Xenopus tropicalis: one gene and its partners. The protein of the gene in region 6 interacts with the protein of the main gene of each other region in a pairwise test. Links are inferred from orthologs where the notes say so. Each region holds a gene or a part of one and is shown on either strand. Other genes may lie near its edges.

Evidence for each region.
Region 1: the proteins of vim (region 6) and kat7 interact in binary tests that used the Homo sapiens proteins (3 or more experiments, as listed by UniProt). The link is inferred for Xenopus tropicalis from reciprocal best matches to the Homo sapiens genes VIM and KAT7.
Region 2: the proteins of vim (region 6) and crmp1 interact in binary tests that used the Homo sapiens proteins (3 or more experiments, as listed by UniProt). The link is inferred for Xenopus tropicalis from reciprocal best matches to the Homo sapiens genes VIM and CRMP1.
Region 3: the proteins of vim (region 6) and kiaa0408 interact in binary tests that used the Homo sapiens proteins (3 or more experiments, as listed by UniProt). The link is inferred for Xenopus tropicalis from reciprocal best matches to the Homo sapiens genes VIM and KIAA0408.
Region 4: the proteins of vim (region 6) and yae1 interact in a two-hybrid assay, tested with the Homo sapiens proteins (2 studies listed by BioGRID and IntAct). The link is inferred for Xenopus tropicalis from reciprocal best matches to the Homo sapiens genes VIM and YAE1.
Region 5: the proteins of vim (region 6) and sirt6 interact in a two-hybrid assay, tested with the Homo sapiens proteins (2 studies listed by BioGRID and IntAct). The link is inferred for Xenopus tropicalis from reciprocal best matches to the Homo sapiens genes VIM and SIRT6.
Region 7: the proteins of vim (region 6) and ess2 interact in a two-hybrid assay, tested with the Homo sapiens proteins (2 studies listed by BioGRID and IntAct). The link is inferred for Xenopus tropicalis from reciprocal best matches to the Homo sapiens genes VIM and ESS2.

The regions. Positions count from the first base shown.
Region 1 is NC_030686.2:14,512,380-14,516,260, forward strand, and holds part of kat7 (histone acetyltransferase KAT7), read left to right. Parts: intron 1-2,723; coding exon of another isoform or gene 2,724-2,900; intron 2,901-3,082; coding exon 3,083-3,322; intron 3,323-3,881. UniProt on the Homo sapiens protein: Catalytic subunit of histone acetyltransferase HBO1 complexes, which specifically mediate acetylation of histone H3 at 'Lys-14' (H3K14ac), thereby regulating various processes, such as gene transcription, protein ubiquitination, immune regulation, stem cell pluripotent and self-renewal maintenance and embryonic development.
Region 2 is NC_030677.2:25,635,734-25,640,158, reverse strand, and holds the start of crmp1 (dihydropyrimidinase-related protein 1), read right to left. Parts: upstream 2,947-4,425; 5' UTR 2,756-2,946; coding exon of another isoform or gene 2,684-2,755; coding exon 2,321-2,683; intron 1-2,320.
Region 3 is NC_030681.2:67,955,429-67,958,922, forward strand, and holds the end of kiaa0408 (uncharacterized protein KIAA0408 homolog), read right to left. Parts: coding exon 2,681-3,494; intron 794-2,680; coding exon 656-793; downstream 1-655.
Region 4 is NC_030682.2:64,476,776-64,481,160, reverse strand, and holds the start of yae1 (protein YAE1 homolog), read right to left. Parts: upstream 3,055-4,385; 5' UTR 2,918-3,054; coding exon 2,789-2,917; intron 1,432-2,788; coding exon 1,310-1,431; intron 214-1,309; coding exon 1-213. UniProt on the Homo sapiens protein: The complex LTO1:YAE1 functions as a target specific adapter that probably recruits apo-ABCE1 to the cytosolic iron-sulfur protein assembly (CIA) complex machinery. May be required for biogenesis of the large ribosomal subunit and initiation of translation.
Region 5 is NC_030682.2:40,098,974-40,102,535, forward strand, and holds sirt6 (NAD-dependent protein deacetylase sirtuin-6), read right to left. Parts: upstream 2,162-3,562; 5' UTR 2,156-2,161; coding exon 1,160-2,155; 3' UTR 777-1,159; downstream 1-776. UniProt on the Homo sapiens protein: NAD-dependent protein deacetylase, deacylase and mono-ADP-ribosyltransferase that plays an essential role in DNA damage repair, telomere maintenance, metabolic homeostasis, inflammation, tumorigenesis and aging.
Region 6 is NC_030682.2:28,585,094-28,589,605, forward strand, and holds the start of vim (vimentin), read right to left. Parts: upstream 2,830-4,512; 5' UTR 2,761-2,829; coding exon 2,210-2,760; intron 749-2,209; coding exon 688-748; intron 1-687. UniProt on the Homo sapiens protein: Vimentins are class-III intermediate filaments found in various non-epithelial cells, especially mesenchymal cells. Vimentin is attached to the nucleus, endoplasmic reticulum, and mitochondria, either laterally or terminally.
Region 7 is NC_030677.2:153,459,199-153,463,809, forward strand, and holds the start of ess2 (splicing factor ESS-2 homolog), read right to left. Parts: upstream 2,925-4,611; 5' UTR 2,731-2,924; coding exon 2,578-2,730; intron 1,446-2,577; coding exon 1,277-1,445; intron 1-1,276. UniProt on the Homo sapiens protein: May be involved in pre-mRNA splicing.

The DNA of each region.
Region 1 (3,881 bases), on a different chromosome or scaffold from region 6:
AGGAAAACTGTATTACTACTATGTTATTATAGGTGTATTTCTAATATAGCTATTAGTCTGGGCAGTTAGTCACAGTGACTTTTAAAAAACTGTCACGGAGACTAATCGCAGGAGATTTAAATGCCATAGGTTAATATGAGTCGCCACCACCAATCGTCCCGTATGTCTTCGTCCTAAGTGCAAAAACAAGTTTGAAATGGGTATACTGTACAATATGGAGTACATTTACCTGGCTGGATAAATGGGTTCTGTCGGCTGGAATGGGCAATGTGGTTGCAGTTAAATTGCAAATACACCAGAATTGTCAAATCATTGGTCATTCAAAATAATATTCTCACTGCTGCTAACCTGTATTTGGACTTTTTAGTGGACAGTGTGCTAGGGCACAAGCTTGAGAGCTGGGGTTATTTATGTTTAAATTTAACAGTGTTACAAAGCAGAGAGGAGTAGTATTTGTAGTGAGCCTGGAATAAAATAAAATCCGTGTGATCTATAAGTAACTTTGTAACATACTTTTAATTTAAATGTTTTCATTTGGTAAACACAGGGGCAGTGTGTGCACCTTCCTGCTCTGAGGAACAGGATTTGAAACGTTCAAAGAACTTTTAATGGGGTCCTCCACCGAAACACTGGCATTTTGCAGAATGAAAGAAAATATTATTTTAAGTAACTTTCCTATATACATTCACTGAAAATCTTTACATTTTTAAAGTTATTTGTAAACATAATTGCTGTCAAAGCTGGTTTGTGTTTATCCTGTTTTGTTCGCTTGGTCTGACTCTAAAACAATGGAACAACTGTCAGTTCTCTTAGGTCTTTCGATTAGATTTTATCTGCTGGCTTACAACATTATTTCATGAGTCAGAGCCAGAAGTGAAGGAAATACAGAACCAGACATGCTGCTTTTAATATCAGTTACACCTACAAATAACTTTAGCACCATTGAAAATGTATAATGAATGCATATTGTAAAGTTGCTAGAATTTTATTTCTTTCAATGTGCAAAATGTTGATTTTGAGCAGAAATCCCATGTAACACTAAGCTTCAAAAAGATCTTTGCCTGTATGTTGCCAGTAAACACAAGGCATGACATAACTCAAAGGGCAACCTGAAACAGAAAACCGGTGGCACCGTGCCACCGATTTTTATCATTTCTAGCACTTAAAAAATATAAATAAAGTGAGGATCACTGGGGTGTGCTAATGTGTTAGGCACCCCCAGGGAGTATCCTTAGACTGACTGAGTGGTGCAATTGCTGCTGCACATTACTGCCAGCTGTGCTTATGTCCCAGTGATCCTCTTCGGTGTCTGGGACGTCATACCTACTCTGACTGTAGTGCACATGTGAGCTATCCGTACAGTGCAGGGAAAAGATGGTGGCATTGCAGGAATAGCACCTGTATGAAAAAGTGCCAGCCTAAGGTCTACCATTAGTGATTATATTCGCTAGTGGGGCCTAACTCATTGGCACCCCCTGTGTCTTTTAAAGGTTCCTGCAACCATTATGATCTAATGTGAGTCTTTCTTCATGGGATTTAAGGTCTTGGAATGAAAACTTGTGTATGAGCCATATATTAAAACTACGTTTTCTCTACTCTGTTCGCAGGGTTCTCTTAAAGCAGAGAATTTTGGACTTTTTTGAGCCCCCCTCTTTTTGAGCCCCCTGAGGTCCAATCACATGGCCTGTGCTTAGCTCATCTCAGACTGGCTGGCCCCTTTTCCCAGCTTAGGAATCGTTTTGCAAAGCAATACTTTTACACAAAGCAAAAAAAACCCCTCACTTTTTGTTTGCTCTATTAAGATCCATTGATTAGCTTGGGGTGTACTGTCAAGGACTCCCCAGAAGCTGCCAGGCAGCTAGTGAAATTCGCACACCATTCGGGCTGCGTGACTACCCTGCACATCAGTTCTTTTCATACTTTTCTTTAGTGTCACTTTTGTTTTCTCTCTGGCTTATTGCTCTTTGTAGGTAACTGTATGTGCTGTGGAAGAGTTTCCAATGAGAAACCACTTCAGCTGATATTTGGTCATCAGCCTTTAAAACTACAATTGCTGGAAAAGCACCAATGCACTGGGAGATGGCGTGGTCATTTGGGGTATTTGGCATCACAACTAAACTGTGCAGAACACCCCAGAATTCACCCAATGTGCTACAGACTTGAGTTTCTCAAAATCAGTAGAGTTTGGCATGCCCATTGCAGCTCTGAAGTGGTCATAGTCCTGGATTGTTCTGTTTGGCAGTTTAAAGTGGAAAATGGAATGCAGTTGTTCCCAAACTGATATTTTTTTCTCTTTTGTCATTGGGATGAGTTTTTGGGAAAAAAATTATTGGCCAATTACATTGGCAAGATTTACGTGCTCATCAGCCAATGTGTGGCCAGTGTTAAAATATGTCCGCTAATCTCTCCTGCAGGTCTTTGACTGCCTTGCCATTTTCCCCATTGGCTAACTTTGTTGGCTGAAAGCAGTGTTCTTTATCTTTTTTTGGGGGGTAATATCTGTTTTTGAGGGAAGCAGTGCAGTTAAAGGGACACTTATTTGCTCATGAGCAAAAATTTTTAATAAAATTAGTATTCTCTGTCCTTGAGAGATAATTAAATTATCAGTCAGGCAAGATATTTAACTTTTTTGGCCACAGATCAAGGGCTTTGCTTTCCTGCCCTGCTAGGGTGCAAAGGGTTGGCAGCATTGGCGAGTGAAACTTTGGTTTGTATTAAACCAGATTCCAGCCCAGTCGGCAATCTGCAATCGTTTGGTGCAGAGGAGCCGGTCTACTCCACTCGGAGGGTGACCCGCAGCCAGCAGCAGCCCACCCCCGTGACTCCGAAAAAGTACCCACTCCGACAGACCCGTTCATCGGGATCAGAAACTGAGCAGGCGGTGGACTTTTGTGACAGAGGTACGGGGGTGCAGATGAGCTGCAATTGCTGCCGGACACATGCTCTGTCTTTCTTTCTCTCTTGTCCTAGTAGATGCACGCTGGCTGTCTCTCTAGCTTGTAAGCCTGTAGAGTAGATTTCTCTACATGTGTCAGACTTCCATGTACAAACCATGATACAAAGTTTTCTATTTCTGCTGCAGACCCTAAAAACGCAGGGTATCACGACGAGTCACCGCCTCGCACTCCAACTGGAAATGCACCGTCTTCTGAGTCTGACATTGATATTTCCAGCCCCAACGTGTCTCACGATGAGAGCATTGCCAAGGACATGTCCCTCAAGGACTCTGGAAGTGACCTTTCTCACAGGCCTAAACGAAGGCGCTTTCATGAGAGCTACAACTTTAACATGAAGTGCCCCACTCCTGGCTGCAACTCATTGGGTAACTTATTAAACCTTTCATCCCATAATTATGTTCCTCTCTTAAAATGTAATATTGAACAAAATCCATAGATAATAAAACATTTCTGCTACGTCAGTTTTGCCAGTGACTACATGCACCAACCAAATTGCCTTGCAGGCCCCTTAGTAACCTGCCTAGCGCCTGAAGTGCATAACAGGGTTTAAAGGGGACCTGTTACAATATATAAAGATTAAGTCCGCCGAGGATCAAAATGTAAAAATACAAATCTTTATTGTAATCCATTAAAAAAATCCCATGTATGCAGCCTAGTGCGTTTCATGCTAATCTAGCACTTATATATTGTAACATTTCTCTTTTTTGGCCACTAGAGGGTTGTGCCTGCAAGATGAATAATGATAATATTTAATCTAATTTATTTTGACTGAGTTTTTCCTAGTCTGGCCTTATTTTGTAATGTTTTAAGGGGACTTGTCGCCCACACATAAAAAGCAGTATAATAAAAGTCCTTTAAAAATTAAACTTGAAACCCAAATTCTTTTTTTAATTAAATCATCCAGACCAGTTAAGTGTATTAAAG
Region 2 (4,425 bases), on a different chromosome or scaffold from region 6:
GGGGGGATTAGTCGCCCCACGACAAATCTTCGTTACCGCAGACGACTAATTTCCCCGCAATGCCATCCCACCGGCAAGAATGTAAATCGCCGTTGGGATGGCATACACATCGCTACAATTTCCTGAAGTTGCCTCTTCTTCTCTTGGCTAAGGGATATATCTTTGGAGAAATCCTTACTTGCTGAGATAACTTTTTTATCTACAATCTACCTGCCCAGCCAGAACCTTGATCCTCATCCATCAAACCTTCAGTGTCAGTGGGCACGAGGAATTTGACATTAGAACATTTCCGTTTGAATTGGTTCTTTGATTTCTATTTTAAAATAGAGACACAGCAACAAAGTAAATGAGATTAAAAAAGACACATGTCCATTAAGTTCAACCTTATCACCTAATGAAACCTTCCTGAGTCTAAACCCATTGGGTTGATCACTCTTTTCCCCAGGCTACATCTCCACAGCAAAATCTACCTAAGCTAGAATCAACTACATCGCTACCTTAAACCTGCGCTGGACTCTAACTGTCTGCATGACTTGTACCTTACTTGTACTTACTTCACCACAATTGGGCTAAGGTTGGAGGGGAGCACCAATGCTTTCCGGAGGGAATTTCGTCTGGGTCAGTGGGGCCTACAAGGGCCGGGCCCACCGTTTGTTTCCCCAGTGTCCTAAATATATCCTCATCTTAACTGACACCGTCTTATTGTCACTAAAACCAAAACCTTCCGGTATTAGTATATCCAGCCTGACACCTTTCTCTACCTGGATTAGCACTGTCTACTCCTATCTCAATATTATCCTGAAACTTTCCAACACTTCTACTACCACCTTAGTGGTTACAACAATTTAAGGGATCAGTTTTGTGGCCTACCCAACAGTGCCAGTTCCATCCTAGTTCTTCATATAGTTTTGGATGGGAAATGCTCCAATGTCTCACCAGTCTCCATCTGGGTCATTGCTCTATTATATATACGCAAGAGTGTGTATAAAGTATGTTACAAGGTCACATGTCCTGTTTTGTCAAGGCTCGAGAAGACCCTACTAACCAGCTAGGAGCCAACCTGCTAACCTATGCTTGTATCTAACAAGGCAGATCAAAGGTGAAAGTATCTACTGGTTCTGTCAGCAGGACACTGTATCCCATCCAGCCATTTAATGACACAAGGAAAGTATTGTATATTGATCACATCTTGAGTCAAAATGTAAATTCTGGGCAATTAGACAGCTGTCAAACAAACTGCAACTGCAAAGCAGGGACATTAGTCTTGCAACAGGGAGCCAGGGCTGCTAAACCAATATATACAGTATTTTTGTGCTATTTATTGCTACAATTTTTTTAATGACTTTCTGGCAACTCAGACTTGACGTCTGATCCGAAGTCAAGGAAATGAACATGTAGTAAGTAAGTGTGTTGGGGTGGGAATCAGCTCCAGTGATGAGATACAGGCGGAAGGCCTTGCAGTCTCAGTGCCACTCCTCTTTGTTACACCGACCCACTCAGGCAAAGTAGCGCAGCCTCACCCTTTCCTTGCCAGGCAGCTGGGCCCAACACAAGGAAAGACATGACATATAAGCAGTCGTAGTCATATGATTTATCAATAACTGCCATGGGTCATGTTACTGCTAAATGACATGCAGCGAGTCCATGAAACATTACATTTCCATTCAACTGAAGAGCTGCCCTCTCATTAACTCAGTCTGAAAACTTACAGATAAGCACCCAGCACCCATAAACTCTCACCTGTGAACTTGAATGTATCAATATACACAACAATATGTTTCCCATATATGAATATAAATTATTGGATTTGATTCTATAATTCTAGCTTTATAGAAACCTCCATTAACCTCCATTTCTCCGGCCCCTGAGACCCTTTTGCTCCAATCCCAGTACTGTATAATCATTTCCAATCTATTTATCTTGTCACTTCTCAATGGAATGCTCCTATAGCTCACCCTGCTGCCCCATTGCTTCTGGGCTCCTGGTGACCTTGAACAAGTCCCTGCTATCTTTTATTGTAGAATTAGATCGTAAGCTCTTAGGCTCCAGGATCCAATCTCTCACACAATGTAGGGCCAGCAGCATGGCTACTGCGGATGAAAGAGGCAAACAGGTATCATCTGTTTTTTAGTTGTAAGTGAAATCTCCAGCAATATATGCTCATTGGGGGTTACTGCCCCCCCCCCCCAAACCCCAAGGGAATTCGGTCAGCAAAAGGGTTAATATGGTTTATCAAATGTTAATAGAAGGAGAGGTGTATAGAGCTTGTGGCCCCCATAGCCCTGAGTGATGGTGCTGCCCCCCAAGCCTCTCCCTGTACCTTGCCATTGTGCTGGCCCTGTAGCAGCTCTTTGCCTCCGCTGTACTTGATCTCAATGCCGGGGGTTCTGTCCTCCCTTTCCCCGGGGGAACTGATGACCGATCCGGAGATCTCACTCACATCGCTGGCTGTTTCGCTGAAATTGTCCCCGTCCATGTCCGGCCTGCTGCTGCTCCTGGGGGTGCGGGTCCCTTTCTTCCCCACGCTGTACGCATCGAAATCAATGGTTTTGTTTTCATAGGCCCCTTCTACATTGGCGAACATGCCCCCATACTTGACTCTGGGGGTCTGCGCGGTGGTGCCTGGCCGGGCCAGATACACAGGGAGATCATCCTCCTTATTCCAGTTGGATCTCCTCTCCATGCTGCGCCGCTGAGCCCGGGTTGCGCTATCGCTGCTGCTGCTGCTGCTGCTGCTGGGGAGGCTGATGCTCATACACAATAACGCAGCGGTGCGGTGAGTGAATGGGGCGCAGAGCTAGTGAATGAATCCTATTGTTACCGCGGCGCCAGGAATAAGCGCAGGCAGAGAGAAGGCGGCAGCCGGGGCAGATCTTGGTGCTGATGCTGCTGATGGGCAGGTTCCGGGGGCTGATTCCTTCCCAGAGAGGCGAGGATGCAGCAGCCACTCACCCACTCAGCACTCACTGGCTCAGCTCTAGGGGGACCCCTCCAGGAGAGAAATCTCACCTCCCACCAAAGGGACGCGCACAGCCGCCCCCCCCCTCCCCTATCTGGCCTGGAACTGGCTGGGAAACGGACCTGTGCATCTCAGGCCGGAGGGGTCTGAGTGTGAGGGGGTGATTTTACCCATATATTTAGATTTAGGTTCAGAAACCTGCAATGCAGTATTCTGGTAGCTGTGCTAGCAACATATACTCTATATATAAATATATAATATGTCATCATTTTACTAGAGAGCTAGCAGGTATTATATTTACTAAACTACTATGTGTTCCAGGGATGGGCTGTTGTGTAACAACTACAACTCCCAGCATCCCCTGCCAGCAGCAAGTTGCCCTGTTTACCTTATTCAGAGACACATTCTGCAATCTCTGCTACAACTTAGTACATTACCCAGAATGGTCTTTAGCTGGGTGAGACTTGGGTTTGAGCAGAGCAGTCACTGGTAAGTATTATAAACTGGGTATTACTATGGGAATATATATAAACTGAGTATTACCTGGGTATTACCCTGGGTATATATATAAACTGAGTATTACCTGGGAATTACCCTGGGCATATATATAAACTAAGTATTACCTCGGTATTACCCTGGGTATATATATAAACTGGGTCTTACCCTAGGTATATATATAAACTGAGTATTACCTTGGTATTACCCTGGGTATATATATAAACTGAGTATTACCTGGGTATTTCCCTGGGTATATATATATATATAAACTGAGTATTACCTGGGTATTACCCTGGATATATATATATATAAACTGGGTATTACCTGGGTATATACCTTTGGTATATATATATATATATATATATAAACTGGGTATTACCTGGGTATATACCCTGGGTATACAGTATATAAACTAAGTATTACCTCGGTATTACCCTGGGAATATATATAAACTGGGTCTTACCCTGGGTAGATATACATATAAACTGGGTCTTACCCTAGGTATATATATAAACTGAGTATTACCTTGGTATTACCCTGGGTATATATATATAAACTGAGTATTACCTGGGTATTACCCTGAGTATATATATAAACTGAGTATTACCTGGGTATTTCCCTGGGTATATATATATATAAACTGAGTATTACCTGGGTATTACCCTGGATATATATATATATATAAACTGGGTATTACCTGGGTATATACCTTTGGTATATATATATATATATATATATATATAAACTGGGTATTACCTGGGTATATACCCTGGGTATATATATAAACTGGGTATTACCTGGGTATATACCCTGGGTATATATATAAACTGAGTATTACCTGGGTATATATATATATATATATATATATATATAAACTGGGTATTACCTGGGTATATACCCTGGGTATATCTATATAAACTGGGTATTACCTGGGTATATACCCTGGGTATATATATAAACTGAGTATT
Region 3 (3,494 bases), on a different chromosome or scaffold from region 6:
ACAATACTCTGGCTATGTTAAAATACAACACACATTCTAAGTTGAAGCATGCAGTGGGAACATGTTACATGCATACATTACCTGTACAACTGCACAGCAGGGATCTTTTACAACACAGGACTATACTGATCTAGTTTTTAGTATTATGAAAAACAAAACAAATATATATATATATATATAAAGAAAATACACAATAAATTATGTAACATAAAGGGGGAAAAAAAAAGCACAGAAATATGTTTCTGCTGGTCGCCAAACACTGAAGATTGGTTTGATTGTCCGAGAAATTCAGATTAATGAAATGTTAGAATTGCATAACATGGCTGCTGTGCTGCTACAGGTGTTAGAAAGTTTCATAACCTGGTAATTATTCTACATCCTCAAGCTTATAAACCTTTCTTTTAGCCACAATACTCAATCAATGGCCTTCAGTATCATCAGTCAGCTTTTCTGAAGCCTAATGGATATACCATAATAGATGGTTCTTTATACTGCATAGCATTGTCCACAATATCTTGACTTTAAGATATAGACCATGTCTTCTATTTCAAAAGGGTGGGTTTCATCTTCATGCACTTTTAGCTCATGAGTTTCCAAAATATTCCTCACACATCCCTAGTCCCTTTATTTTAGCACAAGAAGATATCAGAAATTATTAAATTGCTGTTCTTCTTATAGAAGGGGGCATTGAGGGGGATCTTCCAGATGCCCATCTGGAAGGTGGTCTTCTATTAGCTGGTCTTGCAGGGCGTGAAAATCCTTTTCCATTTGAAGAAGTCCCCAACAATGACAACTAGAACATAAATAAAAGTTTACAAGATTACAGCTGGGCAGTGACAAGTACTGTTATATACAAACAGTTATTACACTAAATTAAAGGGTTCATATACAACTATTATAAAAGAAAAATATATCACTAATCAATCAATTTTTGCCCATACTACCTCCTACTGTAATGGGAGGTACATTTGTATAGAGCTCATTATAAGGAGGTACCCTATAATAAGCTCTATACAAATGTATTCTCCCTAGCTGTTGCCTATACCATAGGCTTATTTGATTAACTACATACCTCCCAAAAATGTTTAGAGGAACAAATGGGATTATCAGTTATGAATGGTTTGAATTTTACTATTCTGCACTGTTTCCCAAATAAACGAAGCCAACAGATATGTCCACCACATTCAACATGTTTAACAAGGGTGTAAACATGTTGAATATGTCAAATATGAGAAAAGCCAAAGCAGATATAACTGCAGAATGCATTTATCAAAGTTTTTATACCCAAAACATGTGTGTGAATACAAGCACTTTGCAGTTATGTCTGCTTTGGCTTTGCTCCTTTCATATTTGACAATATTTCACTAAGATATCTGACCAGACCTAAAAAAAATTCCATCTGCTGCTGCTGATCTTGTGAATGAAGCATCATTGGATCTAAAAGTGGGAGTGGCCTAACATACTCTATCTTGTCCAGATCCACTTGCTTGGGCCTTCAGAAAATCCAAGCTATTTGGCCATCAGTGTGAATGACACAGTGTTTTTTTGACACTTTAGTCCGCAGGTCAATTAATCAGATAGTCTTAAATTTAGCTTCCTTTATGCCTATGGAATTCAAAAACCCTCTAATGAAGTTTAAAGGTCAAAGCTCTCTAGCTCCAAGAACTGTGACTTAGCAGCTTTTCGCTGCAGGGGTCACATTCCAATGACTGTATTTAAGATGCCAAGTGTACGCATATGTGTTATGTCTATTTTTACATAAACAGATCTGTGATGCATGGACAATAACAACAGTAAGATCATCTAACAGCAAGGACAACTAGATTAGGATTAATTTTGAAAATGTAAGCCCTCGGGTTCATCAGGATACTGCAACATCAAAAAATACTTGTTTCTGGAATTATAAAGTTGCTCCCTAAATGTGACAATAATATCCACTTCAAAACTGTTGACTATTTCCATTACTTCCATTACATATTTGTACAATTCCATACTGTACATTTAAATGCCTTAAGGAAGTATGACTTGTAGTAATTTGAACCACACCTGACCCTAACCCTTCCGCTTCCAACCTGACCTGGAAACCCACCTCTGTTTATAAACCTGCACCCAACCCACCCCATTTCACACATCACAAAGGGGGTGGTGCAGGGCAGGCACCCGAGGCAGAGGCCGGACAAAGTAAGGTTGAGGATAGGAAAGACGGAAGAAAAGAGCTCAGCCTGAACAGGCCCGCATCCCACAAATTTTTAAACCCTCCCGTGGGTTTCAGTTGGCCCAGGCATCACTAATAACTTGCCCTAAGACGTCAGAAGTTGACAATTAAACCATATTCTTATTATTTACAGTGTAAGTTCACAGTTCCTTAAGAGTTTTGTATTTTTAAGAAACTGGAATATGGGCAACTAATGAATAAAAATATTTAATAGGGATGCACCAAATCCAGGATCCAGTTCGAGATTCTGCAAAGATTTGGCCTTTGCATATGCAAATTAGGAATTGGATTTCGGTATTTGATCGAATCTTTCACGAAAGATTCAGGGTTCACCAAACCAAAAATAATGGATTAGGTGCATCCCTAAAATTTAACTATCTATATTAAAGAACTGAAGAAGTCTGTACCTAAAGAACAAATGGTGTTGATAAACCAAACACCATCCCTTTAAAAGGTTACATTTACCTCGGGTAGCTTAATGCTTTCAGCATTTTCCCGAAGTTGCCGGTGAATGGACACATCATTACTAAAGCTTGTGGTTACTTGGTCAATCTGGAGCATTTCTAAGCAACGAGTCAATTTTTCAGAGTTAGCATCTGTCAGAAGGAAATCTGAATTTGTCCGTTTCCTTAAAGCATGTTTAGAAATATGATATGGAGCCTTGTTTTCATAGCTCTTCAAAAGCTTTTCCACAACACCATAGTTGGACCTAGAGTCTGCAGATCGTGGTCTCCCTGACAAATTGCTTGGTGTCCAGTTGTGCTCTTGTAGCATGTTTTGGTAGCTACTTCGGCTGTGAGATCCATGTGCTTGCAACTTTTGGACTGTAGAAGTTTCACTCTGTATTGCACTGTTTTCATAGAATTGCACAGTTATTTCAGCCTCATTATCTGGTTTAATATTGGTCCGAGCAGTGCTCAAACTGTGATCCAGCGAGTGAATGCAAGACTCCTGCTTTGCAGGCTGGTACATGTCATGTAATGACTCATGGAAAACTTTGCTTCCCTTTTCTGTCTTAAAAACAATTCTATTAAATTCATCAATCTTTGCTGCTAGCTTTCCATTCGTCATTGCCATTTCAGGTCTGAGTTCAGATGCATTAGGATAGTGCTCTGACATTATTTCATCAGAACAGAAGTTGTTAGAGCATGGCAACCTAGAAACTGAAGTGGTGGAATTCCATGCATCATTTTTAAAAACTAAACTGTCATAATCTGCAATGTTGCCCAGGAAAGGTTTTACTGGGTTTGATTTTTCAAGTGTTCCAATGTCATATAAA
Region 4 (4,385 bases), about 36 Mb from region 6:
CCTGGCTCATTCAGTTCACATCTATGCTCATGACTGATTAGAGCCATGTCCTCCACACAGTGCAACAAATCAGATGGTTGTGCACCTTTATAAAAGGAAGATAGATCTTTTACAATTTGTTCCTCACACTGATCTAATGAAGTCAGAAGCTCATGTAGTTTTCCAGAAGCTGCATCTTTTGTCTTGTGAAGTTGGCACCATGCCAGGAGTGCACTGCAACAAGCACACAAAGTACATTATATAAACGACAATGATAACATAGATACATTTTCTAGAAGCACTGGCATTTCCTGATGATACAACAAGTTTTATTGTCAGCTGACCCTAGTTAAACTTTTGACATCAATTTTCTGCTGATTGTCCCTATTGTACTCATTCTTCTATCACGTTTGCAGTAAGTAAAACATCAACATTGACAATTTAAGATTTAAAATATTTTACAAATTTGTGAAGAGCTAGCAGTAGGTTGCAAAATACTTAATTAAAAGAGTGACTGAAGTTTATCGAAGCACAAGTCACATGGCTGTCAATTATCAAAATTAGAGAAAAAAAAAAAATGTTGCTCTTCCTGTAAGGGTGAAGACACACGGAGCTACTAGTAGCGGCTACTTGTTGCAGCTACTAAAACAGACAATGCTGATCATTTACTGATAACTGTCTCTACATGTGTTTTAGCAGAGGCAATTCTCTATTTTCTATGGCAGGGGATTTTCTGGTGTTTAGTAGCCGTGACAAGAAACCCTTTAAAGGGGAAAAAGCCCCCCTTTTTTCACATGAGATAATTCAGTTTTGTGCTTATATAACAAAAGTGTAGAAACTTCTGAACTGCCAAAAATATATACAATTCTTAAAAATATGTAATGTTAAATCTTTCAGCGCTATTTAAGTCTTTATTAACTGCCAATATAATGAATTTTGTAATATTGCTACCTCAGTTCTTGAAATTGTACAGTCAAAGACATACAAACCTTACATTCAGAACAGAAACAGGAAAGCGATCAGAAGCCCCAATTGCCTTTTCCCATCTCCTTCCTAAGCAAAGCAACAGCACAATATTTGTTTTTTTTTTTTATTAAAAAGGTAGCTCTCTTTGACTGTACAACTGCAGGAAATAACCAGAAGGCAGTGATGTTACAAACTTTATTATTTTGGCAGTTAATAAAAACTTAAATAGCTCTAAAACTGAAAAATTAATACTGCTTATAAAAGCACCCTGAGCATTTTGACACATTAAACATTTGTAATTCCCGTGACTGAAAAGCTGTCGGAAATAACTGGAGAAGTGAAGATAAAATACAATACAACTTACCTTAAGATCCCTTTAAGCTCTCCGTAATGCTTTAGCAGGTTCACTCCAACTTTATATCCAAAATTAAACCCTGTTTGTAGAGAATTTTCTTTCCCAGCCTCTATTCCATCAACGTAGCCCTCCTACGAATACAAGAATAGAAATTCAAACTAAACAAGCATTCCACAAAATTAAAGCAGTTAAAATAGTTTTCATCTGTAACCTAAAATTAATTTAAACTTAAAACTCCATGCCTACTGCATCCTACATATCCAACAGACAATATACTGGTGGATACGGTACATTTTTTTCCCTGCCATTTTAACCCTTTCACTGCCAAGCACGTAGGCTGTATGTGCTGGCAGTAAAAGGCTCTATCTGCCAAGCACATACACTTAAATATAGATATTTAGAAGCCTATATTGTTATAGAAGTGGCATTACACAAAAATTCTAGCATATTGTGAAAGCTTAGATTGCCCTGAAAAAAATATATTGTTTTCCTGGGTAAGCTAAAAGTCCACCCTGAGAAAAGGCCTCTAAAGTGAAAGAGCGCAAAATGTTCAAAAACTGTCTGGCAATAAACGTTCTGTTGTGACCAAATCTGCTTGCAGTGAAAGGGTTAATGTGTAGGTGGGTAGGACATGGGACTAATTAGTGCAGTGATCCCCAACAAGTGCCTTGTGAGCAACACGTTGCTCCCCAAGGCCTCAAACCAGGTAGTGATTTTTGAATTCCTGACTTGGGGGCAAGTTTTGGTTGAGTAAAAACAAGATTTACTACCAAATAAAGTCTCCTGTAAGCTGATAGTGTGCATAGAGGCTGCCTAATAGCCAATTACAGCCCTTATTTGGCACCTTCATGAACTTTTATGATGCTTGTGTTGCTCTCCAAGTCTTTTTACATTTGACTGTGGCTCACAAAAAGATCCCCGAATTAGTGTAACCTGGTCAACCAGTAACTTCATAATGAGTTACTTGTGTAACGACTGATAAAGTTCTGAAATGGGAGTGATTATTCTACTTTCCCCGAATCACAGCTTGGGTGCAGGTAAGAAAGTTGTGTATAAAGCAATGACAAGGCAGAGAAATGAGGTAGGTTAGTCTTGAATTAGGGCAAACTCCACTGACCTTCAATGAACGGACTAACTTTATTAGCACATTACTCTTGATTATAATTAATAAAGTGTGCTATATTGAACTACTACTGACTAGCTATTTGGGCCACACAGAAAGAACATGTGTGTGTTTAGAAGAAATGCCGAATTCCTGCGACAAACATTGAAACCCCGATGCGAGTGCTCCATAACACAGCAGTGCCCTGAGGTAAAACAGAGCCCCGCTTTTACCAACCTCCTTGTAATTCCCAGAAAACCTGCTTCTCAATGTATGCCTTGGGGTAGGTAACCAGGAGCACATGAAATCACTTACCAGTAAAATAGGGCAATGCCTAGAAAGGGGCCCCCAAACTCGCTATGTTAGTCTAACTATCTCCCGAATACCTTAATTCTCTTCTCCATGGACAGCTGCCAATCTCGCTGCAAAAGGCGCATCTCGTCTCCATCTTCATCAAACACCTCTGCCTCCCCTCCAAGCTGCTGGATTTCCAAAGCGGTGCGTACCCACGCCATTTCACTATCAGGGGCCGGTATCTAGCTCTAGCATGGCATAAACTGGAGGAGAATCCCTGCTCTAACGCAGAAAAGCTAAATACGCCCCTCGCCCATGACGAAAATATCAGTCTAACTTCACCCCGGAAGTGGAAATTATTTGCAGCCGCATCCTCACCAATAGGGATCGCTATTTTATGCGCCATTTTCTGAAGGCATGTCCATTGCTTATAAGCCAAGATGGTTGTTTGGGTGTAGTAAAAAAAAAAAGCAACGGAAAGCGTATTTCTCTATTTCCTAATGGTGCGTCAGCGCCATCTTGTGTAATATTAGTGCTTGACATGGGGTGAAATAATGTGTGGCGAACTTTATATGGTTCAAATGTTATGTACATAACTAACAGCATGTTGTTTCGTGCTTTTATGATTATATGTAAAGTCTTTTGCGTGCTGAACACAATAATGAGCTCAAGATTATGGCAAAACTCCCCGCCCCAGCTCAGACTTACACTAGCATACCTTCCAACATTTTGAAAATGGAAAGCGGGACAAAAAAAAATGCAGAGCACAGCTACTTTGTGACCACGCCCGTTTTTTTGCGACCACACCCCCTAAATACCACTCCCATTTGGCAGGTTATAGTTTGTTTACATTTCTGGGGGTTTTGTTTTATGTGTTATAGTTTTGCTGAAAAGATGAAATTGTCCTTTAAGTTGCAAGTCTCAGTTCCCCCAAGAGGTCTGTTTAGCTTATTAGTTACACTTGTATCTCAGTGCAGGGGGGGGCTCTTTACCTTTCTGGGTTCTTTGCCAAAAGCCCACTTATTTCATTAAATGTGAGAAACAATGTATCTAAGTGCAATGTATCTAAGTGGGGTCTCTGCCAAAAGCTACTTTTAATTAAATTAGCTTCAGTGCAGAAGATCAAAGGGAAATGAGGGACTTTTCAGTAAGAATCTGGGACTGCAGGCTGAGCTGCCAAAAGAGAGACTGTCCCGCGAAAATCGGGACAGTTGGGAGGTATGCACTAGGGTTGCCACCTTTTCTCGAAAAAGATGCTGGCCTTCCTATATTTTTAGCTATTTTCCCTATTAATAACATTAGCATTAAAGGAGAAGGAAAGGTAAAAACTAAGTAAGCTTTATCAGAAAGGTCTATGTAAATACAGCCATAAGCACTCACAGAAACGCTGCACTGAGTTCTCTGTTAAAAGATACAGGATTTGTTGTCTCTTTGTTTTCCTGTGCCAGACACACGCAGCTCTCTCCTCTCTCCCCTCTCCTGCTCCCTCCTCCCTCAAGAATGCTAAGAACTCCCTTCCCCCCTTAGGAATGTGCGATCTTAGCCAATCAGCAGGAAGATTCCTCATAGTCTTACTAACTGAGCATGTACTCTTGGTCTTGGTGTAGGAGTGAGGCATTATGGGAACTTTCACCAAGCTCAGTGTTTTTTTTCCCTATAAGGCTTCTGATCATCTGAACAGGTGAAATA
Region 5 (3,562 bases), about 12 Mb from region 6:
GGCCAGTATTGGTTGATCTGTCACACCTCATACACGTAGACCAGTCGCAAGGCTACCCAACTTTAACTCATCTTAAATACGCATATTCAATTCCCTTCTCTATTGGTTTGGTTTTTAAAATCAATTAAAACACAGGTATCCATGTCATTTTAAAATGTAGCCAGTTGGGAAAGGGGAACTAATAGCTAAAATACAAACTGGCTACATCCCAAGTCATACCAGAAAGTGGAAATGTAGGAAGAGTATCTCTGTAGTAATACGGTAAGTCAAATCAACTAGACTTGCTGTGTTTTTCTAGAGGTTTCGCTAGTCATAAGAATTACATGTACAAGGATCTTTCTGGAATAAATTCCTTGAAATGTTGCTCCAATCAGCATAATCTATTAAAACTGGCATGGTGTCAGGAAGCTCATGAAGGTACGGTGTTGATTGGAAGAGTATGACTATGATAGTGGGGGTTATTGGAGGAGTATCACTAGGATAGTGGGGGTTCTCTACACCATGATTATTGCTTCAAGCTTCTGGTTTATGCTTTGCCACGGTTACACAAGTAAAGCATAGTTATGTCACTTGCACAAGTGCACAGGGAAACCGAAGCAGTGTACCTTATGCCTGCCTAAGCTCCTTGTAAATAGAAGGGTAGGACAAAAAGGTGGTTCAGGTCAGCAATGTCACTTGGCATGCATGTGAGCTAGGCAATTCATTTATTTAAACTGCGGTTTTATGAATGCAACCAGCCAGCAGTGGTATAAAAATCAATTAAATATATCTTGCTGCATCTGAGAAAGTTGTATTTTATTTCTGTTTAAAGAAATGGCTGGCAGTTCTGTAAACTGTTTTTTGTTTTTTTTTCCCTTTTTTTAAAAATAGAGGAATGTACAATATCAAGTCTTTTTATATGCATTGCTAGATATACATCCTGAAAAAGAAAACTTTAGTGAAACTGAGTGGCACATCTCTCACGGATACATTTTCTCTAATGTGTGTGCCTGTCTCAGTCAAGAAGACATGTACAAGCTAATACAGCACTGTGTGTAACATTATATAAAATAGTTTGGCTCATACATATCCAAATATGGGTATTCTTATGTCCAGCACAAAACAAAGTTAGAGCCAAGTTAAGGAATATAGCACCTTTTTTGAACTAAGAAGACCAGTATCATACACATGCTGGCTCAACTTTTGCCTTTTTTGGCTCGAGATTAGGTTCTTCCTTGCATCCTTCTCTTTTTTGGTTTGGGTTAGCACCCAGCACTGAATCATTGTAGAAATGATTTTCCTCCTTATAGTTTCCATTAGTTGGCTCTGTTTTAGTAGGCATACCAGTCCAAACTGGTATCTTGTGACCCAAAAGCTCCATGAGCTGTGTCATCACTTCATCCACATAACCGTGTATTCTCAAATCCGCGTGCTTGTCATGCTTGGTCGGCTGAAGGTTTACAATAACTAGTTTCCCACCCTTGCGCTTGGTGAGGAGTGGTAGGTTCCCACTGGGTCTAATCTGCAGTGATGTCCCCAATGTAATGGACAGGTCTGCTTTCCTGCAGGCTTCATCGGCTAGGTTTAGGTCTCTGTCAGGAAGTGAGTCTTCCCAATCCAAAATGGTGTCTTTGAGCTTCCCCCTGCAAGCTCTCAGGCCTCGCACCTTGGGCACATCACAGAGTCTCCCAGTAGGTTTGAGCCCCATGGTTCCTACAACTTGATCTCGCACGTACTGTTTGCTACATTTGCTGCATTCCTCCACGAACATGTTTCCATGTAGTTCTGCCAGCTGCTCTCTGGGGAAGCCAGATCTTACATGCAAGCCATCTACGTTTTGGCTAACCAAAAATTTCAGGATGCCAACCCTCTGCAGCTGAAGCAGCGCCATGTGGGTAGGGGAAGGACATGCAGATTCAAACGTGATGTCAAACTTTGGGTTCACACCTTTCTCCTCCAGAGTCCACACTCCATTAGGCCCCCTGAAATCTGGGATTCCGCAGGAAGTACTGATCCCGGCTCCCGTGTGAAATACTACGTAGGAGGATTTCCGAATCATATCAGCTAGTTCCACTACCTTGCGACACAGTTCGTCCGGTGGATCAAATGCCTCCGGGAGCCCACATCGTCCCTTATCGGAATAGGGAGACAAGCCAGCCGCATAATTCACCGACATGTCGCCAACAGAGCCCGAAACAGGAGTGACTCCTTTGTGATCATTAAATGGCCGGCGCAGGCAAATGACGTCAATAAAACCAGCCAGACGGTCGAATTCTTATTGTAGAGTACTGGAAAGGGAGTTTAGGCGCCGTCCCTGGTGCGTTGATTTCGAGAGTATATAATTCAGTTCAAGGCACATAATATCTAACAAGCCAGCAGCCCTCTATGGTAGAAACTATATTCTGGGTGACGAAGAAAAGCAATGGTATTTACCTCGTTGTTATGTAAAGCTTTGCGTTGGAGACTTTGCAGGTAGACCAACAGTGTGTAAGTTGTTACGAGTATTTTAAAGTGTGCACATTTATATATATTATACAGTGTTCTTCAGTCTATGACTCATTTAAACCGTGAATCATTATATATATATATATATATATATATATATATATATATATATATATATATATAGTGAGTGGAAACAACCCCCGATTTCTAGTCAGCCCTATAGCATTAGCTACTGTGACAGGCAACCTTATTTTCTGCTTGATAATTTATGACAACCCCAAAGCTCAGCTTCTCAACAGCTACCCAGAGCATGTGAGTGTCACTAACAGAAACCAAGATGGGGAGCTCCTTTGTTTTTAATTAATTGTGATCACGATTATTTATATGAGCGATGTTACTAAATAACTTTCTTTTGAGATAACTAATTTTTCCCCAATATCTTTTGGTATCTGGCAGCTCACTAAGGGGCACATTTACTAATCCACGAACGTCCGAAAAGCGTCAGAATGCGTTTTTTCGTAACGATCGGTGTTTTGCGACTTTTTCGAGTGCTCAATACGAAAGTCGCGACAATTCACGAAATTTGTATTGGCAGTGAAAAAGTCGCGACAATTCACAAAAGTCATAATGGCTATGAAAAAGTCGCGACAATTCACGAAATTTGTATTGGCAATGAAAAAGTCGCGACAATTCATGAAAGTCATAATGGCTATGAAAAAGTCGCGACAATTCACGAAATTTGTATTGGCAATGAAAAAGTCGTAACGAAAAAAAAATACGAAAAAGTCGCAAAATGTTCGTTTTCCAATCCGAATTTTTCCCATTCGGATTTGGGGATTAGTAAATCAGCCCCTAAGTGTTTTTGAATTGATTTCTTATTCACAAGCGCAGAGTGGTGATTTCTAATCTTATGGGGAGCTCTCCTGTGACAAGGCATGGATCATTACTATTATAGAGCTGTTAAACCTTTTGGCTGGTGGAGTAAGTTCCGTATACAAAATATGGCAAACCTAGCCATATTTATTTATAGGGTTTAATCCTCTTTTTGCATAGCTTGGATATGTGCCCCTGGACCCCACATCTACTTTTGTGAGCTTATGACTTTCATACAGCACACGATTCTTCTTTTTCTCCCTTT
Region 6 (4,512 bases):
GTTTATAGAATAGTACAGGGATACCCATATTGCAGCCTTATTGTTAACGGATGTAATACAACAGCAGCTAAGAGGTCTCTGATAAAGGTCTCTGATAGTGATGGGCAGGTCTGAAAATTTCCAAGCCGCACCTGACGTAACCCACAGATTTCCGTCGTGCATCTAAGTTCTCATCCATTTTTTTAAGACCAGACCCATTTCCAATAATGGGTGGAGCTGATAGAGTGACACCACCAGAGGGGAGACCAATGAACAGAGGCCCTGTTTGAAATTTTTGCTACCTAATGAACAGCACTTGAGCTTCAGTTTCTCAACCCAAACCCTCCCCCCCCCCCCGACTCACTGATCCGCCCTTGGCTAGTCTAGTAATAGCAGCATATTTATTATATCTTCAACACTTGATTGTTTTCTCAATTGACTGACCATAGGGTTTCCCTATTTGTGAAAATATCCTAAGCTATATATATATATACAGAAGAATCATGCTAATACAGAAACCAAACATCATAACTAATTACACACCTGTCCCATTGCCAAATTTTGGCTGAGAAGATCTCAGATGTATCAACATACTGATGCCTTATGAACTGCTGTACCACTAGGGGGATTTCAGCACATGTTGTACAGTAAGTGCAAGATCTAAGTGCAGTATATACCAACAGTTTGAAGTAGTATTGCTTCTCATACCTGTCTAAATGACTGCAGGTTGCCTTCTGCTTCTTCCTTCTGGATCATTTCATCTTGTAGCCTAAAGTAAGAACAAGTTTCAGCTCAAAATGAGAAAGATTTGTAAACCTTGGGAAAAGATTTAATTGTAGGCTTTGTAGAGCTAACAAAATACAATCTTTTATTTAGCACTAAGCATACATTGTAGGACATTCGCTGATTGCTTTAGCAGAGAATGGGGAATCATTTTTGAGTGATTTTGTACCATCTCCTATGCAGCTAAAAGTAAAGTAGCTAAAGTGAAGTCTATGATATTGCAATGGGCAAGTGATGGGGTTGGTTTTATCTAGAGGGAGTCATCACCACAGCTTGGTTTTGGGGTGCTATATTGTAAAGACCCAGGGAACCCCGCCCAAGCCTGAGATTTCTGCCCAACTTCCAACTCTTCTTAGATTATAGCGCCACCTAGGAAGTACCTTGATAAATTTGGCTCTAAGAGGAAATTTATGAAGATATATTGTATGTGTGTGTGTATTACTTTCCTCAAATAGTTGTTCTGCCATGACTAAGTTCTTTAGTTTGCCAGTAATGTTGCAAAACAAATGTTTTTTTTCAGAACAATTGGCTAATAGGCCTAGGGAGGAACTCGATCTCAGTAAACTTTCTCTTGCCAAACAATTTAACCAAGGAAATGCTATATAGACATCCAACCCACTAGTAGGTTTTTATTGTTAATAGGCCAATATAAGGCTATTTGGATAATGAATAAACAACGCTCCATCTATTTGTATGTTTTTATATTACAAATATGCATCTTCCATTAGCAATGAGACCAAAATGGAGGCAACATTCAGTCTGAATGGAGTGCCACACCCATCCCAATGAGCACAATGCCAGACACTGAGTAGGAAAGTTTTTCACAGTGTCCCTGGCAAAGTATATGCCCAGTTTTTCATAGTCCTTCTGCATTTCTGACCATTATATAATCTAGCCTGAAGGTTTCCATCATTTCTGATAAAGCAGCCATCTGACAACAAAGTATAATCTTGTTCAGTGCAAAGCAGCATAATGAACATCCTGACTTACATAAAGTAGTTTAATAATCTCTTTAATATCTCTATTCTGACATTTCATCCAGGCTCTCCATAACACAAGACTGCCATTAACACTTGCCTTAATCTACTGAATGGAAACTAATATGCTAGCCATACCATAGCTACAAACATTCAAACCCACATCAGCTGGGACTTTAATGGGATGTACATCATACTGGAGAAACAAAAGGCAACACCCAGTCTATACGGGGAACCTGCAGCTATTGCTAGACTACAACTCCCAGCATACCCTCACAGTTTTAAGCTGAAAGGAGTCTTTAAGAAGTAGTTGGAGAAGGAATGGCTATACAGAATGATAGATACAACATACTATTTACAATTACCCTATAGGAGGATGCTGATAAGTGATTAGGTAATACAATGAGGACATTGGATCAGTAAGCATCCACCATTAGCTGTAACTATGATAAAGTTATACTTGCTCTTACTTTTCTCTCAGTCGCTGGAGGTCATCGGCCAGGTTGTCTCTGTCTACTTCTACTCGGTCTTTAGCGTTGGTCACTTGATCTAATTGTCTACGGAGCTCCCTCATCTCCTCCTCGTAGAGGTCCCCTATCCGTGAGGTTCCCTTCCCTTTCAGCTGTTCCAGCTCAGCCACAAGGATCTTGTTCTGCTGCTCCAGGAATCGCACCTTGTCGATGAAGTTGGCAAATCTGTCATTTAGCTCTTGCATTTCAGCCTTTTCGTTGGTCCTGTTGGCTTTATATTCAAGGTTGACAGCATCTGCTAGGGTGAAGTCCACTGTGTCTGCCAGCCTGGCTGGGGGAAGGCTGCTTCTCAGCCTTACCGAGGAGGACTTGAATACAGCAGGGGAGGCAGATGTGGAATAGACAACTCTGCTGCTGCTGCTGCCTGCGCCTGGGCGCATGGCACTGCCCAGGGAATACCTGGTGCTGGAGGTCACATAGCGATTTCCAGAGGAGCTCGACCTAGGGTTTCCCCCGAAAATCCTTCTGTAAGATGACTTGGTTGTTGCCATTGTGGTGCTTAGGCTCTGGGTTTCCTTTGTAATTCCTTGGACACTTGAGTTTCTATGTGAGCACCCCTCTCCTCACCCAGCCAGTACTTGAGCAGTACAGAGAGCTGGCACCAAGGGCGGTACTTATACAGAAGCTAACAGGGTTTCCCATGACAGATGCCTCAGACAACCTATCAGATTTGCTGCTCAGTTTCCCCTTGTAAGTTCTTAGCCAATAGAAACACACAGGGCTGGACTAGCGATCCGCTACTTTGTGCTCATCTTCTCAGAAAGTTACTTCGTATCTCTTGCAGGAGTAGAGGGCTGGGTTCTCTTAGCACTATTCTGTCCCTCTTATCCCTCACATCTAATGTGTGGCTCCAAAAGAAAGGACACAGCACAATAATACAATTTCTTTATGCAGCCTTCTGCTCATTGAAAACTTATTGGCTCAGGTGTCCAGCATGAGCTTTTTTAAACTGTAACTCTCAACCTAGTGTTGGAGTGGTAGATGAACAAGAGCCAGAGGGCTGCAGTTCCGTTACATTTAATAAAATCCATTGCATGTTATATGGTGCTCACAACCCTCAGCCTTTCTCCTCTCATCATTTTGTCCCAGCCACCACCCCCTCCTCCTTCCCTCTGCCTCTGCATGATGATGGGGGGAAGGGAGGGGGTAGAATGAAGTCCAACGAAAAGGCTGAAATTCAAAAGCTGAACGACAGATTTGCTCTGTAGACAATTCTTTTTTAAGCTGCTTAGAAGATGGTACAATATCACCCAAAAATTATCCCCCATTCCCTGCTAAAGCAATCAGCGGAAAGTCCTACAAAGTTTGCTTAGTGCTAAATAAAAAAAATTATTTTGTTAGCTCTACAAAGCCTACAATTAAATCTTTACCCCAGGTTTGCAAATCTTTCTCATTTTGAGCTGAAAATCTTGCTTTAGGCTACAAGATGAAATGGTCCAGAGGGAAGAAGCAGAAGGCAACCTTCAGTCACTTAGACAGGTATGAGAAGCAATAATACTTCATACTGTTGGTACATACTGTACTTAGATCTTGCCCTGTACAACATGTGCTGAAATCCCCCTAGTGGCACAGCAGTTCATAAGGAATTAGTATGATGATACATCTGAGATCTTTTCAGCCAATGGGACAGGTGTGTAATTAGTTATAATTACACATTTTTGGTGCTTGGCTTTATTATCCTTCTGTATACTTGTAGATTAGGATTTTTCCACAGATAGGCAAAACGTATGGTCGGTCATTCCAAGAACATGTAATCAAATTGAGAAAACAATCACATTTTTAGATGTAGTAAATATACTGCTATCCCAGGATTAGCCATGGGCAGATCAGTGAGTTGGGGGATTGAGAAACTGAGCCTTAAGTGCTGTTCATTATGTAGCCAAAATTTAAAACAGGGACTCTGTCCACTGGTCACTCCTCTGGTGATGTTACTGCACCAACTCAACCCATCCACAACATTATTGGAAATGGGTTTAGTCTTAAAAAAATGGAGGAGAACTTAGATGCAGGGTGGCAATCTGTGGGTTATGGTGCAACTTGGAAAATTGCTGACCTGCCCATTAGCATCAGGGACCTTTATTAAAGGCCTCTTAGCTGTTGTAATTTTATCCGCTAGCCCATTACCAAAAATTGTGCATTGTTCCCAGGTGCAAATACAGTGTATCCTTTAAAGGAGAAGTAAAGCCTAACTAAATAAGCAGGGTAGAAATGTTGTACATTATATTTGGGTTTCTGTACCAGCC
Region 7 (4,611 bases), on a different chromosome or scaffold from region 6:
ATTTAATTCATTATCCTCAACACCAGATGGGGCAATTAGTCGCTGCGCACGAAAACCACGCTCGTGAATAGTGATGAGCGAATCTGTCAAAAGATTCACAAAACGGCGAAAATTCCATGTGCACCGGATTTTGTCGCCCATTTCGCAAAACAAGCCACCAATGGCGAAACTCGAAAATTCACAGCAAATCCATGCCTGCCAAATTATTTTGCCCATCACTTCTCGTGAAGAATAATCTCTGTGCACAGATATACAATTCACTGCATTTGCATGGTACCGTGCAGGACCAGTCCCCACGACTTTTCCAACAGGTGATTAGTTGCTGTGACTGGATTTTAAAAATCACGCCAACTAATCACCCCATCTGTCTTCGCCCTAACACAGCAGAGCGTACAATATAAGATCCCTAGTATGTATGCACATACACTAGGGTCAGTTTCAAGAACCAGTTAACCTGACAGTCTAAGGTAGGCCTAGAAAACAAAAAGTTATAAAAAGATGCTGCTTTTAATTTAATTTAAAAATAAAATCTATATTAATGTATATTGGAAAGGTAGGGTAGGCATAAAATTACACTTTCTTTAAATAATACATTTTGGGAAGTTTTTTATCTTTCATTCTGATTTCCAAACTTCTGCCTCATTGATAGGGTACAAAAACCCCAGCAACCAGTTATCACTCTAAATTCCAAGTTTTACAGCCGGAACACAAAATAATGTAAACAAAAAAAAAGCTATTTTATCTTTAAAATATGTCAGTGTATACTGTAAAAACCTGGGAATATTTTTAGCTAGAATTAAAATTGGTATTAATAAACATATTCCCAAGTTTTCAATGCGACTGCCACCCACTTCCATTGCTGTCTCCTACCTTAAACCTTTTTCTCACTGCTCCAGTCTTGGAAATTCTATACCTATTGCAGTCTTTAAAAAAACAAACTCATCTGACAATTAATATTTACATTTATATATGTAGTAATGTTTCGGAATTATTTAAGCCAGGCTGCTACTCCCTATCTCGCATGGGAATAATGTGTAAAGCTTGTCTCGAAACCCAAAGTAATCAATTAGCTAGTAGCAATTACTGTTTACTGATTGGCGGCTACAAATTGCTACATTTTAGACATTTTATTACATTAACCCATTAGATGTTGTTTCTAAGCAGGCAAGCCCATTATTTAAAACCCAAGCAGCATTTGCATTAATTAAGTAGCATGAATATAAAATATATAAGTAACAGGATCTTCCCCATGAGCTCATTAGTAATATAAACTTACAAGGCAGTGGAGTATCCTGAGCTGATTTGCCCAAGGTGGAGCCAAACTTAATGGAAATCTGTCTCATCTTCTCAAGGTCTCCACATTCCTCTGCTTCCAAATATTCCTTCTGAGCCCGCAACTTCTCAACATCTGGGAAGAAATCTCTCTGAATGATTTTCTGAAGATTCTGCATGAAGATAGAGAAAAACAAAAAGGTGGTTTTTACAAACCACATATACTGTTTGCTATGCCGTACAAAAGACAAGCTAGACAAAGACTTACTTATGTAATCACACTTTATATAATAAAAATCAAGATTTGTCTAACCACTGAAACTGAATCTCTAAAACGGAGCATATGATGTCCACACACTCCACATATTCCTCATTAAAAAAAAAACACAAAAGAAAAGTTGTATTTCATGTTATGAATTCCAAGTTTAGGGGGTTAATGTGGCATTTCATTTAGGCATTAATCTGCTGATAAGGGTACAAGCATTTTAGAAAATATAGGGTTTCTATTTAAATCCTATTTTTTTGGGAGTTTTTTTTAATACAATTGCTCTCAGTAGTGGGAACCCATCAAAAACTAGCAAGCAGGCTCTTGTTCCAATTACTCTTTTCATTTATACATCCATAACATGTTGCTTTAACTTTGAGTGGCATGCATTAAAAGGAGAACCAGTGGGCTATTATCAAACTATATAGGGGTTATGTAAGGTACTAAGTTTGCCCATGTGCAGTAAGCCATAGTAAACAATGAGCAGGTAGCATTTACTGATCACCTTTTAAAAGCAAACATCTTATTGGTTGCTATGGGTTACTGCAGATGGGTAAACATGTAGGGGTCAAGGGTAAGGGCCCACGGTGAAATTAGTCGCCCATGGTTAGATCTCGGCTACAGTGGGAGACTTATCTCCAAGAAATTCCTTTCCATCGGCAATAAAGTGAATGGCCGGTGGGAAAGTTGCATTAAATTTTCACCTGCAGAAGGAACTTTGTGCCTGATGATACCACTGACATTTGCTTATAGCTGAGCTCCACTGTCTTCTATGATAATATATATTTAACAGTTAATATTAAAAAAAAACCTGTGATTATTGGTTGAAGTAGTTGCTCTATTGTCAAAGGGGCATTTGCCCGTCTCATGTAATTTAGTTTAGGTAACTTGCCATGCGTGTGAATATTATAGGGCCAGTGCTCAGTTTTTCGGCACAGTACTGCAAAGACTCTACGACATCGCACTGATCTGACAGCTGTCCCCAAAAACACACTCAAGAGCACATTCCTTCTCATGTCACCGTATCCCCCGTGACTTACCTGTATATACGTCTCTTCACACAGCACCTTCTTCTTTGGCCTGCTGCTCTCTGCTGCCTCAGGGACTTCTCTTTGTATGTCTAAAGCTCCTGCTCCAGGCTTGTGTTTCACTAATGCCCCAGTGTTTTCACTCTCCGCTCCAGGGGCTGCCATCCCGCGGTACTGACACAGAGACACCAGCACACAAACGCTCACATATATAAAGCCACAAGGATTCTTGCTGTGTATAGACGTCTAAAAAACAAATCGCAATCCCACCGCAATATAACTACATTCAGCAGACCCTCTCCGACACCATACAACCACAACGCATTCCGGAAGATGAAGCGCAATAGCGTATTGCATTCTGGGAAACGTAGTTGTAACGTGAGTAAATTGCCGGAAGTTGTAGTGTGGGATGCGGGGAACCTTCCAGCAATGAATTCATACAGGAGTCAATACAATAATAACAAAAGGGATAAATACCAAATATAATTATATTCAAGTTTAAATGCTGAGTAGGAAAGAGACCAGGGAAAGGAATTCCATTCCTTATAAAATTTACATTTTTTTTCCTCGGGTTTTCAGACTATTCACTTATTTTATAGGTACAGTTTGATTTTGCTTGTTTGCTTACAATTCATATTTGTATTACATACTGACACGGTATTTTATATCCTGTAGTTAATGTTATGTCACTTTATGTGATTTACAAAAGTATGGAACTATACCTCCCAACATTTTGAAAATGGAAAGAGGGACAAAAAGAAATGCCACACATAGCAAGGTGAATTTCATTTTTTGGGGTCTTGTTTTATGTGTTATTACAGTTTTGTTTAAAAAATGCTGAAATTGCCCTTTAAGCTGCAAGTCAGTTCCCCACAAGAGACCTGTTTAGCTTATAAGTTACAATTGTATTTCAGTGCAGGTGAAGCTTGTTAACTTTTTGGGCTCTCTGCCAAAAGCTACTTTTTAATTAAGTTTGAGAAACATTTGTATCTTTTTTGGTCTTCAGTGCAATGAAAAGGGCAATGAGGGACTTTTCAGTAAGAATCCAGGACTGCAGGCTGAGCTGTCAAAACAGGGCCGGAACTAGGGGTAGACAGACAGGCACCTGCCTAGGGCACAACGATTGGGGGGCGCCAGGCAGGAACCTCTCTTGCCTACCCCGTAGTCCACGCTACCTTGTCATTGCCCCCGCCGCTTGTCATTACGCGGTGGGGGCAATGACCTCCCCCTGTGCTTGATGGAACTGCACATGCGCGCCAAAGCACACACGAGGGCGGGGAAAGTGCAGGGAAGAGGTGACCGACCGCATTGCCTAGGATGGCCGGTCAGCTTGGCCCGCCTCTGGTTGGGAGCTGTTTGAGGTGCCTTGAGAATGTTTATGATCATTATGATTTAATTAGCATGCATACAAGGACATGCCTTTCAGAGGGGCTGCTGTAAGATGCCATAGACAGTAACTATTTAGTGGGCTGGTGGAGGGCTTTTTGGGTCTCTGTGTACTTGAAATGCCAGGGCCTGTTTGGAATCCCTGGGCCTGGTTTGCAACCCTGCTAAATGCATATACACTACTAATGTTTTGTAAAACATTGTAATGATCTTTGTCTAATAAAGACATGATCTTTGTCTAATAAATTACATATTTGTAATCTTACAATAGGCATTTTACAATAGGCATTTCACAACCTTACTGCATTCAGGCTTGCTGCATCAAGCTCCAGAAGGGGGAGCCGTTCACCTTAGGATATTCTCTTTGCAAATAGAGGAGAACACCAGAATGTAGATGTTCTGCTCGGTGAATTTGTTGCACACTTGTACAGCAAAATATATTTCACATGTTGTGTTGTTTAAGTCTGCAATAAATTGTACTGTATATCTGCCTTGTGGTGATCTCCTTGTCACTTGCAAAAAGTATATTTTGAATCTTCTCTATTCACATGTTGTATTGATTGATTACAAGGATACTGGCACTTTTTTCTCAGCACAACAAGCAATAAAAAGCATCACTACTTTGTAAGGTTAATGGCACATTGGTAGCTGATCCACTAC